2 linked regions of the Mus musculus genome follow. The protein of the gene in region 2 binds, or shares a complex with, the protein of the main gene of each other region. Links are inferred from orthologs where the notes say so. Each region holds a gene or a part of one and is shown on either strand. Other genes may lie near its edges. The genes, in order: Sf1 and Prpf40a.

Region 1 (4,458 bases), on a different chromosome or scaffold from region 2:
CCTCCAGACTCAGAGCACCTTAGCCTTGAAGCTGTCTGAGAAGGACACAGCTCAATGGACCCAACGAGGTTTCTGCCCCAAAGAGGATGTTTACTTGGTTAGTTGAAAATGTTTATCAAGTGCACTTTTTGAGACAGCAGGACAGATATAAAACTTCCATTTATTATGACCTTGGATTTTAAGTAATTTTGAGGTTTAATTCTACTGTGGACAGTAACCTAATTTTTTAAATTCTGCCACCACTTCATTTCAAATCAAACAGTAAACCCTTCCCAGCAGAGTCCTTTAGTGGTAAATTACAAGAGCCTGTTTTAAGACAGCTCTCTAAAGATGGAACAAGAAAGGATACTGAAGGGAAGGATTAAATTCAACAAAATGGGTAAACTATAAATGCTTTCCGAGCCACTTTTTGCTTAAACTATTTTGTACCTATAAAAAAACGAAACCACAATTTTAGGGAAAGGGAACCATGACATTATGGTGAAAGGCCATGCTACAAAAAAGCAACTGGTTTACAATACCTGCAGTGTTCTCCACTGGGGCCTGTCCAGAGAGGAAGATAGCATTCACCTCACCAATGAGCAAGAACAGCAGCTGAGAAGGGGGCTGCCGAGCTAAGAGCAGGCCCAAACAAGAAGCTGCAAATGCAGGACTGGCCAAGCAAATCACGGATTACACAGCTATGAAAGCATAGCTCATCACACCTTGTTCCCATGACTAAAATCTTAAGACTTTCAACAGGTTCATCACTCAGAACAATCTGCAGTAACAATCTGAAGATGCACCTGGATGTAGAACGTGTATTTACCTATGTAAGCTCTTTCCTGTTCCCGAGTCAGTCCAGGGGGTATAACTGTAGGCATGCCTGGAATCACTGTCTTCTGCTCCATTGTGTCTTGGTTCCATCGGCTCCTCTTCCTCTTCTTACTTGGGAAGTCTAAAGACAGACAGAGCCCATCAGGCAGAAATATGAACCAGAAGGCAAGCAGTTCATGATAATTAAAACTAAACTGAAATCACCTAAATTTTTAAAAAGAAAGAAATCTCAGAGGTCAGAGAAAACAAGCAGCCATTTTAAAGATCCTCCTGTCAGGAAAGTTAAGGAACAGTTCACATTTAGTTCTTTTAAAACGAAAATACTAGAGAATGTAACAAGGAACACATTTCTTTTGTAGTGTTAACATCAGAGTTTTTGCATATATTGGGTAAGAGCTCTACCACTGATGCATATCTCCAACTCTTTGGATCTTTTGTTTGTTTTTTGAGACAGAAGTCCCTTTAGAGAACCCTGGCAGTCTTAAACTATGTAGACTGGCATCAAACTCAAAGCCCCACCTTCCTCTGCCTCCAGAGTGCTAGGATTAAAAGCATGAACCATCATGCCCTTGCTTCCAAGACTTAATGCACAGAAACCCAGAATCAGAAGTGTACAGATACATATTATCAATTCTGAATGCCTTAAAGGGCAGAAAAGAGGAAACTGGAATGAGGCCCACAAAGCATTGGAACTCAAGCTACAAGAGTACACAACAAATCTCTTGCTACACATTACTGTGGGAAACATGCCATCCTTCAATATGACCATTCTTACTCGTGGAAAGATCAGTTTTCCTGACCAGTGGACACTTGTCATCAGAACTCTGATTTATTACATTCTTCCCTACATTTACCACACAAGGTTTTCTACTTCTCAGATTACAGGCCCAGAGAAAAAGCCTTTTAAAACAGCACGGGGAAAGCTGGTCACTCTGAGAACCTTCTAGAAAACAAAAGGAGAAAACCTTTAATAAATGATCGAACTCAAGCATCCCTAGTAGCCTTCCGAACTCGCCTCACTGTGAAAGGAGACACTCCTGCCACGGGGCTGCTAAAAACCATCAAGGGAGCCACTCACACCACGTCGTCCCGTGGACCTGACTCTCCTGTCCTCCATAGCAGGAGCTCAGGGGGCAACAGGTGGCTTCTTCCAAAACTACCACAATTGCGCCACAAAGCCTGAACGCCTCACTGCGTCTGCGCGAAGAACGCTTCCTCCCGCCCTTCTGGTTCTCGCGGTGCGCGTGCGCAATCGAAGCCTCCCAAACCAGGCCGCGCGTTCCCCGTGGCGCGTCCGCCCGGGCCTCCCGTGCGCGCGCGCGCGTCCTCGCCGCGTCCAACCGCGGTGGCGTTGCCCCTCCGTCGGCCGGTTCGGTTCGCCCGACGACTCTCGCGCTCTATCGGCCCGACTCACCTCCGCCGCCACCGGGCTGGCCCGGCTGCTGGTCCTGGCGCGGAGGCGACCCTCGCTGAAAAGAGCGGCGGCGGCGCGGGGGCGGCTGCTATGGCGGGTACGAGGCCGGGGGCGGCGGCGGTGACGGCACCGCCGCTAAGGACAAGGCCGTGGTTAGGGCCCCCGGCAGCGGCGTCCCGAGCGCCAATAGGCTGGGCTTGAAGCTGCCTCTGGGCCCAGGAAGTGGGGAAAGGCCTGGTAGGCCCAGCTTACCCAGCGGCGTGGCGTTCGCTCCGGTCGCCATGGCGCCCCAGGGGACCGGCAGCAGCGGTTCCTCGTCCTCCGCGGCGACTTCTCCTTCACGAACCTTCCGGGAGCTGGAGGTGGGGGGGAGGGGACCCGACTACGCGGCTGAAGAGCGCGGGGAGCCCGTCCTCTCACGCGGCGGGCGGCGGCGGCGCCAGACGCACAAAGAGGGAGGAGAAAGGACGCCGCGGGGGCGGGCTCGGGGCGGAGGGGCCGCGGCCTGGATTGGGCCGGCCCGAGGTGAGGTCGGAGGCAGCGGCCTCCGATTGGTGGAGCACTGGCTCTTTTCAATATGGGTCGGGATTGGCCGAACCGTTAGGCCCGGCGACGAAATGGCGGCGGGGCCGGGGGAACTGGGAGGTGTCGCAGCGCGCACTCCTTGTTACTGCGCGGACTGAGGCCAGAGTGGCAGGGGAATAGGAGGGGGCAAAGTCTGTGACGTGAGAGAACGGCTAGCTCATTGGCTGAAACCGATGGAGGTAAGCGCCTCGGCGTCGTAGTGCCACACGATTGGCTGAAACGATTCCCCTCCCCCAGGAGCCAGCCGCTCGAGAATGGAGAAAGCCGGGAGGAGAAGCCGGAACCAAGGCGGAGAGCAGGGGTGCGCATGCGTAGGGAGGGCACGCGTGTCCCCGCCCCCTTCCCCAGAGGGGCGGAACGGAGGCCTTAAGTGACGTTAGTCATTGTGCTAGAGGTAACTAGGGACCGCGGCGAAGGGGCGGGCTCGAGCTGACGAACAGGATACGTCGAAGCTGCAGGTAGAGTAGAGAAAGACTTCCTGTTTTCTCTGAAAAATAGTGTTACGAAATGGCTCAAAACTAGGGTAGTTGGTGGGTGTATTTAAAGACTTTATTTCATTCCGGTACAAGGTAGCCAAGTAGCCTGTCACCCGAGAACTTGAAAGGCTGAGACAGGAGAGCTGACATGAGTTTGGGGCTAACCTGGGGTACAGTATATCTGTCTCAAAAAATCCAGGTTCAATGGCACATACTAACTCTTGTAAAGGAAAAGTCAGGCGCTCCAAGTCCTTCTTGGAGAGGGGAGAGAAAGTCATTTCAAAAGTTAGTCTAAAAGTGTGCACTTCCAGGGAAATCTCAATGCGTTGGAAATTTGTTTCGGGTACCTTAAAATTACCCATAAAAATGGTAGGGAACTTGTAAATGAGACTGAGGCCAAACATTCCTTCCCATGAAATAAACATGAGAGTAATGAAACAGGTTAGCACAACATAATAGAACTGGGGATAGATAGGGTTCTCACAGAGAGGTTATTTAGACCCAGTAGGGGAAACAGTGTTTAATATGTAATTAGAGTGGCTAGAGAAATAGCAGATAAGACCAGGCACTGGCTACTCTTCCAGAGTCCCAGGTTGGATTCCTAGAACCTAAATGGTGACTCACAACCATCCGTAACTTCAGTCCCAGGATATCAGAACCCTCTTCTGGCCTCACAGGCACTGCATATATATGGTGCACAGACTTATATGCAGACAAAACACCCATATACATAAGACTAAGTAATCTTTTAAAATGATGTAGAAAAGTAGACATGTAGACAACAGAAGGTTTGGAGTAATCTAGGAATAAAGAGACTACAAAGATAAGAAACTCAAGTATGGTGGATGGTACAAGTCAACAGACTATGACAGGTAGGGAGGAAATGGCCATAGAACAGAGAAAGAGCAAATGTCTGGGCAGAAAATACAATTGAGTGGTAGAACCTAGCACATGTAACTCCCAGATTACATCAGCAGACATGTGAAAGTAGAAAAGCCAACTGTAATACCCAAGAAACCTATCAACCTAAGCAGAGGAGGGGCCAGCTCGGCAGTTAAGAGTGCTGGACAGCAGGGCGGTGGTGGCGCACGCCTTTAATCCCAGCACTCGGGAGGCAGAGGCAGGAGGATTTCTGAGTTTGAGGCCAGCCTGGTCTACAGAGTGAGT
Region 2 (4,602 bases):
TAGTAGAAAACCATGAAGCAAAAGTCAAAATATCTGAAGTGTGTAAGTATAAAGTAAACTAATTAGGAATATGGTCACTGGCACAGCTAAAGAGAAGGGGCCACAAAACAAACTGTGACCAGTGTATGCCAATTACTTAAAAAAATAAAGTAAAATCTGCACTGTACTAAAAATGAGTAGCTGGCATCTCAGGACTGCTAGTGCAACAGCACCGGGACAGCAAGGGTAAGCAGGCCAACCCCTTGCAAACTTACCTTGCCTGGCCCAATGGACACAGAAGGCCCCAGAAAAGAGAGAAGCGTCTGGCAGTAGCAAATTGTTTTATTTTATCTTTCTGTGGAAAGAAACTAATTTTAAATAAGAACCAGAGCATTAGAGAATAAATATTTTTTAAAGCTCATTATCTAGTTAGAGCAGCTCTACCAAGAAAACAAGAAGGGTTTTGTGCTGCTTAGAGATGGAAAGATACAGAAAAAGAATCAAGAGTTGTCTCTGCATATCCTAGGGAGTTTTAAAGTATTATTATTCGAGAGTAACAGAGCAAAAGAATCTTTTCTATAAGGAACTCCTGCAGGCAGAATCTTTTCAGTTTGGTGCCTTTGAATACAATTTTCTTATCCAAAATTAAGGGCTATATTCCAAATATAAAAGAAAACCACTTAACACTGAGCCATTCTACTCTTTAAAATAAAAAAAGCAAACAAACAAAAAAACACAAGTTCCTGTTTCCCCCTGTAATTTCACCAGTAACTTTAGCCTTCATTGCTCAAACCATCGTCAAACTCAATAGTACTCATTAGCAAAAGAAAATATACAACTGGCTTTCTAAAATATTCTGCTAATCAAAAATTTCATGACTTATCAAGATATTCAACTGGAATAACCCAGCCCACCTAAGAATCAGTGTATTATATAGAACCTAGCATAGGACAGAACTGTTGATGCACCTCAAGCTCTTGTCTTTCTTGACCACTTCTCTAGAAATTCTACCCGTGTTCCTGAGTCATCTTAAAACCTTTTAATCCAATCACTCCTACGAAAAAACGTCCATTTACGATTTGTGCTAGAGATTCAAGGGGCAACGCACAAGTAGGAGTATAGAAGCAATTATCATTCAAAAATTAAGTAGAAAATGAGCTACCTATTTGGCACTGTCCAGGAAAGAATTAGTAATAGAGCAGAAAATCCCTCCGCACCCCAAACAAGAGGAAGATACTCCAAGAATAAAATTCATTCTACATGAAAACCCCAAGTAACTACTATTTTTCTGATGCTAGGCTTTACACATTCACCACGATTATCTTCTGATATATATTTACTCCTAGACCATTAATAATTATAATGCCTGAAATAAAGTCACTAAGTTAAATAGATTAGATGTATACTCTCACTTTAAATTATTTGCTTGGTTTTCCAGATAGGGTTTCTCTGTCTTGGAACTCAGTCTATAGATCCAGGCTGGCCTTGAACTCAGAGATCTAACTGCCACTGCCTCCCAAGTGCTGGGATCAAAGGCGTGCGCCACCACAGCCGGCTTATTTTTTTTAAAGCTTAATTTTGTTGAGGAAGTCAGTTAATTTTTTCTCATACAGTCTTACTACATTCAAAATTTGGTTACAGACATGAGCAATGTAATGTTTTGTCTTGTTTGAAGACATTACGTGGATATAAACTAACCTTTAAAGGGCTGCAAGTACACCACTGACTTACATCTTAAATACATCTCGACACACTCAAACAAAACTAAGCAAGCCAAAGGGAAAGCGTCTTCTTACTTGTCCCATTGGAGGCCCTCCCATAGGGGGCATCATCTGTGGCATCATTCCATGAGGTACAGGAGGCATGTTTGCTCTCTGACCCATAGGGTGCATGCCCATTGGTGCATAATGCATGCCAGGATGCCCCATCTGAAAAATAATAAAAAGGGAGAGTGAGAGACAGTTAAATGCTTCTTTAAAATGTCATTTCAAAAACAACAACTAAAACCCATCAATTAAGGCACAATATTAAATCACTGTGATTAAATTACAGTATTAGCATATACTGAAGTTAATCTTAATTACACTACAGTGATTATTAGATGGGGCCTGAAAATTTACAAAATAATGGAAAAGTTAAACCCATTAGCGGATTACAACCCCTCTCCAATGACTTAACAAACTGTTAAATGACTGGTCAGACTTGGTGACTATGTATTGAATTCCAACTTAAAAAATTATTACGATGAACACAACTTCCGTCACCTTTATACACATAACCAGCTTATACTACTTAAAATTACATTCATATGGACAAGACCTAAAACAGAGTGCGGGTACCCAAGAGTACTTCACAAATGTTTTAATAGAGTTAAACTGTCCCAGACACTAACAAATTCATGCCGTTTTAGGGAGCTTAAAATATAATACTTCCATTGTTCCTGGCTTGAAACTAAGTATCCGCAGCCAATTCTCCCAACCGAATCCCCCAAGCCCTGCAAATCACCACCACTCCCGGAGAAATAAGACCGCAGCAGCCGCTCCTTAAGTCCCACAGACTTAAGTGTCCCTACTGTAAGTCAAGCCTGGGGCTCTCAGATGCACAGTCCGCCCGGGGCCCAGCACCTTCCTTCTTCCTAAGGCATCTATCTACCTAGGCCAAGACCACTGGCAAGTCCAAGGTCCCACCTATTTCTTTGTGTGTTCCCGCCCTCCATCTCTCCCCCTTGGGACGTAGCCCACCATCTGCAGCTCTCTTCCTGATATGCTCTTCTCCGTTTGGAGAGAGCTTCCTGTTTCTCTGACTCGGTTTTTCATTGTGCCGCTTTCCCCTACCCCGCCGATCCCTTACCGAGGGCCGTCTCCTCAGGAAGCCGTCAGCAGAGACCCAAGAACTGGAGCACAGGTTTGAGCCGGACAATCTCCGCTCCCCGTCCCCGGGACCCCGCGAGGGAGGTTGGCTCTCCATTTCACTCACCATGAGGCCTCCACGCTCGGCTCCAGTCCCCGGCCTCATCGTCGGGCTCAGACTGCTCCGTCGGCGGCCACTGCCGCTGCACATACCAACAAGAAGCGATCTGAGTGGCTGGCGCCCGCCGGGGCCAAAGGGTAAAGGCTGCCCTGAGCTGCGGGGCGGGATCAGCGGGGCCAATAAACTGACAGGCTTCCCTACTGTCCAATCAGAGCGCGAGACCGACAGGCAGCTCTGCGGCGATTCGCCCCCTGCCTCGCTCGGCGTCGCCTGCATGGAGGGGGGGGGAGGGGGGACGGAGGAAGTTTCTGCGTCGAGTGCTCTGCCGGGGAAACTCTACCAACTTCCCCCAGGAAAGGGGACACGGCGGGGACCCAGATTCCCGGGTTCGGGCCACCGCACCCCGTCGGGGGGTGGGGCAGTGGCGTCCAGCCCCTCGCCCTAGTTACGTTCGCCCCACAAACCTGAGGCCACCAGGGGTGGGGTGGGGGTGGGGCGGGGGAAGCGGCACCCGGCGTTAGCGGCCTAGTGCGCGCGCGCGCGGTTGCCCTGGGGAGGGGGTCGTGCCTTTGGGGGTGGGGGGGAGAAACTCGAGAGCTGCGCGCGCGCCCGGCATAGTGAAGGGCGGAGGCGCGAACTGTATCTGGCGGGGAGCGGTAAAGACAGAGATCTCTCGCCCGAGGGAGGAAGCGACTGGCGGTTAGGAAGGCGCGGAACTGCGGTCATGGGGCTCGAGAGGTGCGTGCCCACAGGACCCGAAAGGGTGGAATAAATGAGAGTGTTGTCGCGGCGGGCCATGGGCGCGCGCTCCCACGGCGCCTCCGGAAGCGGAGTCCCCGGGTAACCCGCTCTTGCACTCCCCTACGGTTCTGCGCGCGGTGGTTGGGTCCGCCGACGGCCGTCTCTGATTGGCTGTAGCCGGGGCGGGGCGTGGCGGTGGTGGACAGCCGACCTTCGCGGGACTCTCAGTCTTTCCCGCCATGTCGTTCGTGGAGAGTTGGAGGTTTGCGGGCGCGCGGAGGCGCCGTCAGGTTACCCCAGGCCCTGCGACTCGGCCCGGGTATTCCGACTACACTCAGGGGGACAGCTGGGGTGAGGGCGAAGGCGACGAAGACGAGGGATGCGACCAAGTGGCCCGCGACTTGCGGGCAGAGTTCTCAGCCAGGGCGTCGTCGGAGACCAAGAGGGCCCCGCTACTCCCCCGGGTCGGGGACGGGTCTCCGGTCCTGCCGGATAAGCGCAACGGCATCTTCCCGGCCACTGCGGCCAAGCGAACCCAGGCTCGGCGGTGGCCCATCCAAGCCCTTTCCATTCTCTGTTCGCTGCTGTTCGCCGTCCTCCTTGCTTTCCTTCTCGCCATCGCCTACATGATCGTTAAAGGTATTGAAGCCCAGGCCTTGAAAGGCTGTCCAGCGTAAAGTGCAGCCAGTACATCACACGCCCCCATTCACACTCTCCTCCCAAAGCGTTCCCTCGAGACTGCTATCGTCCCTTTTGTCTTCTCTCCCTAGATGGACGTCCTTGCTCCGTCATGAGACCCATTTAGAAAAGATCTTTGGCTAAATCTACAGTCTTTAATGCCGTAAAGGCATTGAACACTTTGAGTTGAAACAGCAGAGCCCCTTACTTTTAAAAGGATCAAAAAAGTACGTG

The links.
Region 1: the proteins of Prpf40a (region 2) and Sf1 are in contact, whole or in part, in an NMR structure (PDB 8PXX), measured with the Homo sapiens proteins. The link is inferred for Mus musculus from reciprocal best matches to the Homo sapiens genes PRPF40A and SF1. Residues at the interface, in NP_001352526.1 of Homo sapiens: His164, Ser166, Tyr172, Tyr174, Ser181, Thr182, Trp183, Tyr213, Tyr215, Ser222, Arg223, Trp224; in NP_004621.2 of Homo sapiens: Pro575, Pro576, Leu577, Pro578, Pro579, Gly580, Ala581, Pro582, Pro586, Pro587, Pro588, Pro589, Pro590.

Annotation. Positions count from the first base shown.
Region 1 is NC_000085.6:6,362,143-6,366,600, reverse strand, and holds the start of Sf1 (splicing factor 1), read right to left. Parts: upstream 2,912-4,458; 5' UTR 2,514-2,911; coding exon 2,483-2,513; intron 2,082-2,482; exon of another isoform or gene 1,895-2,081; intron 938-1,894; coding exon 809-937; intron 1-808. UniProt on the Homo sapiens protein: Necessary for the ATP-dependent first step of spliceosome assembly. Binds to the intron branch point sequence (BPS) 5'-UACUAAC-3' of the pre-mRNA. May act as transcription repressor.
Region 2 is NC_000068.7:53,188,194-53,192,795, forward strand, and holds the start of Prpf40a (pre-mRNA-processing factor 40 homolog A), read right to left. Parts: upstream 3,040-4,602; coding exon 2,830-3,039; intron 1,908-2,829; coding exon 1,776-1,907; intron 335-1,775; exon of another isoform or gene 255-334; intron 1-254. Other genes in the region: Arl6ip6 (ADP-ribosylation factor-like protein 6-interacting protein 6), read left to right, coding at 3,930-4,329.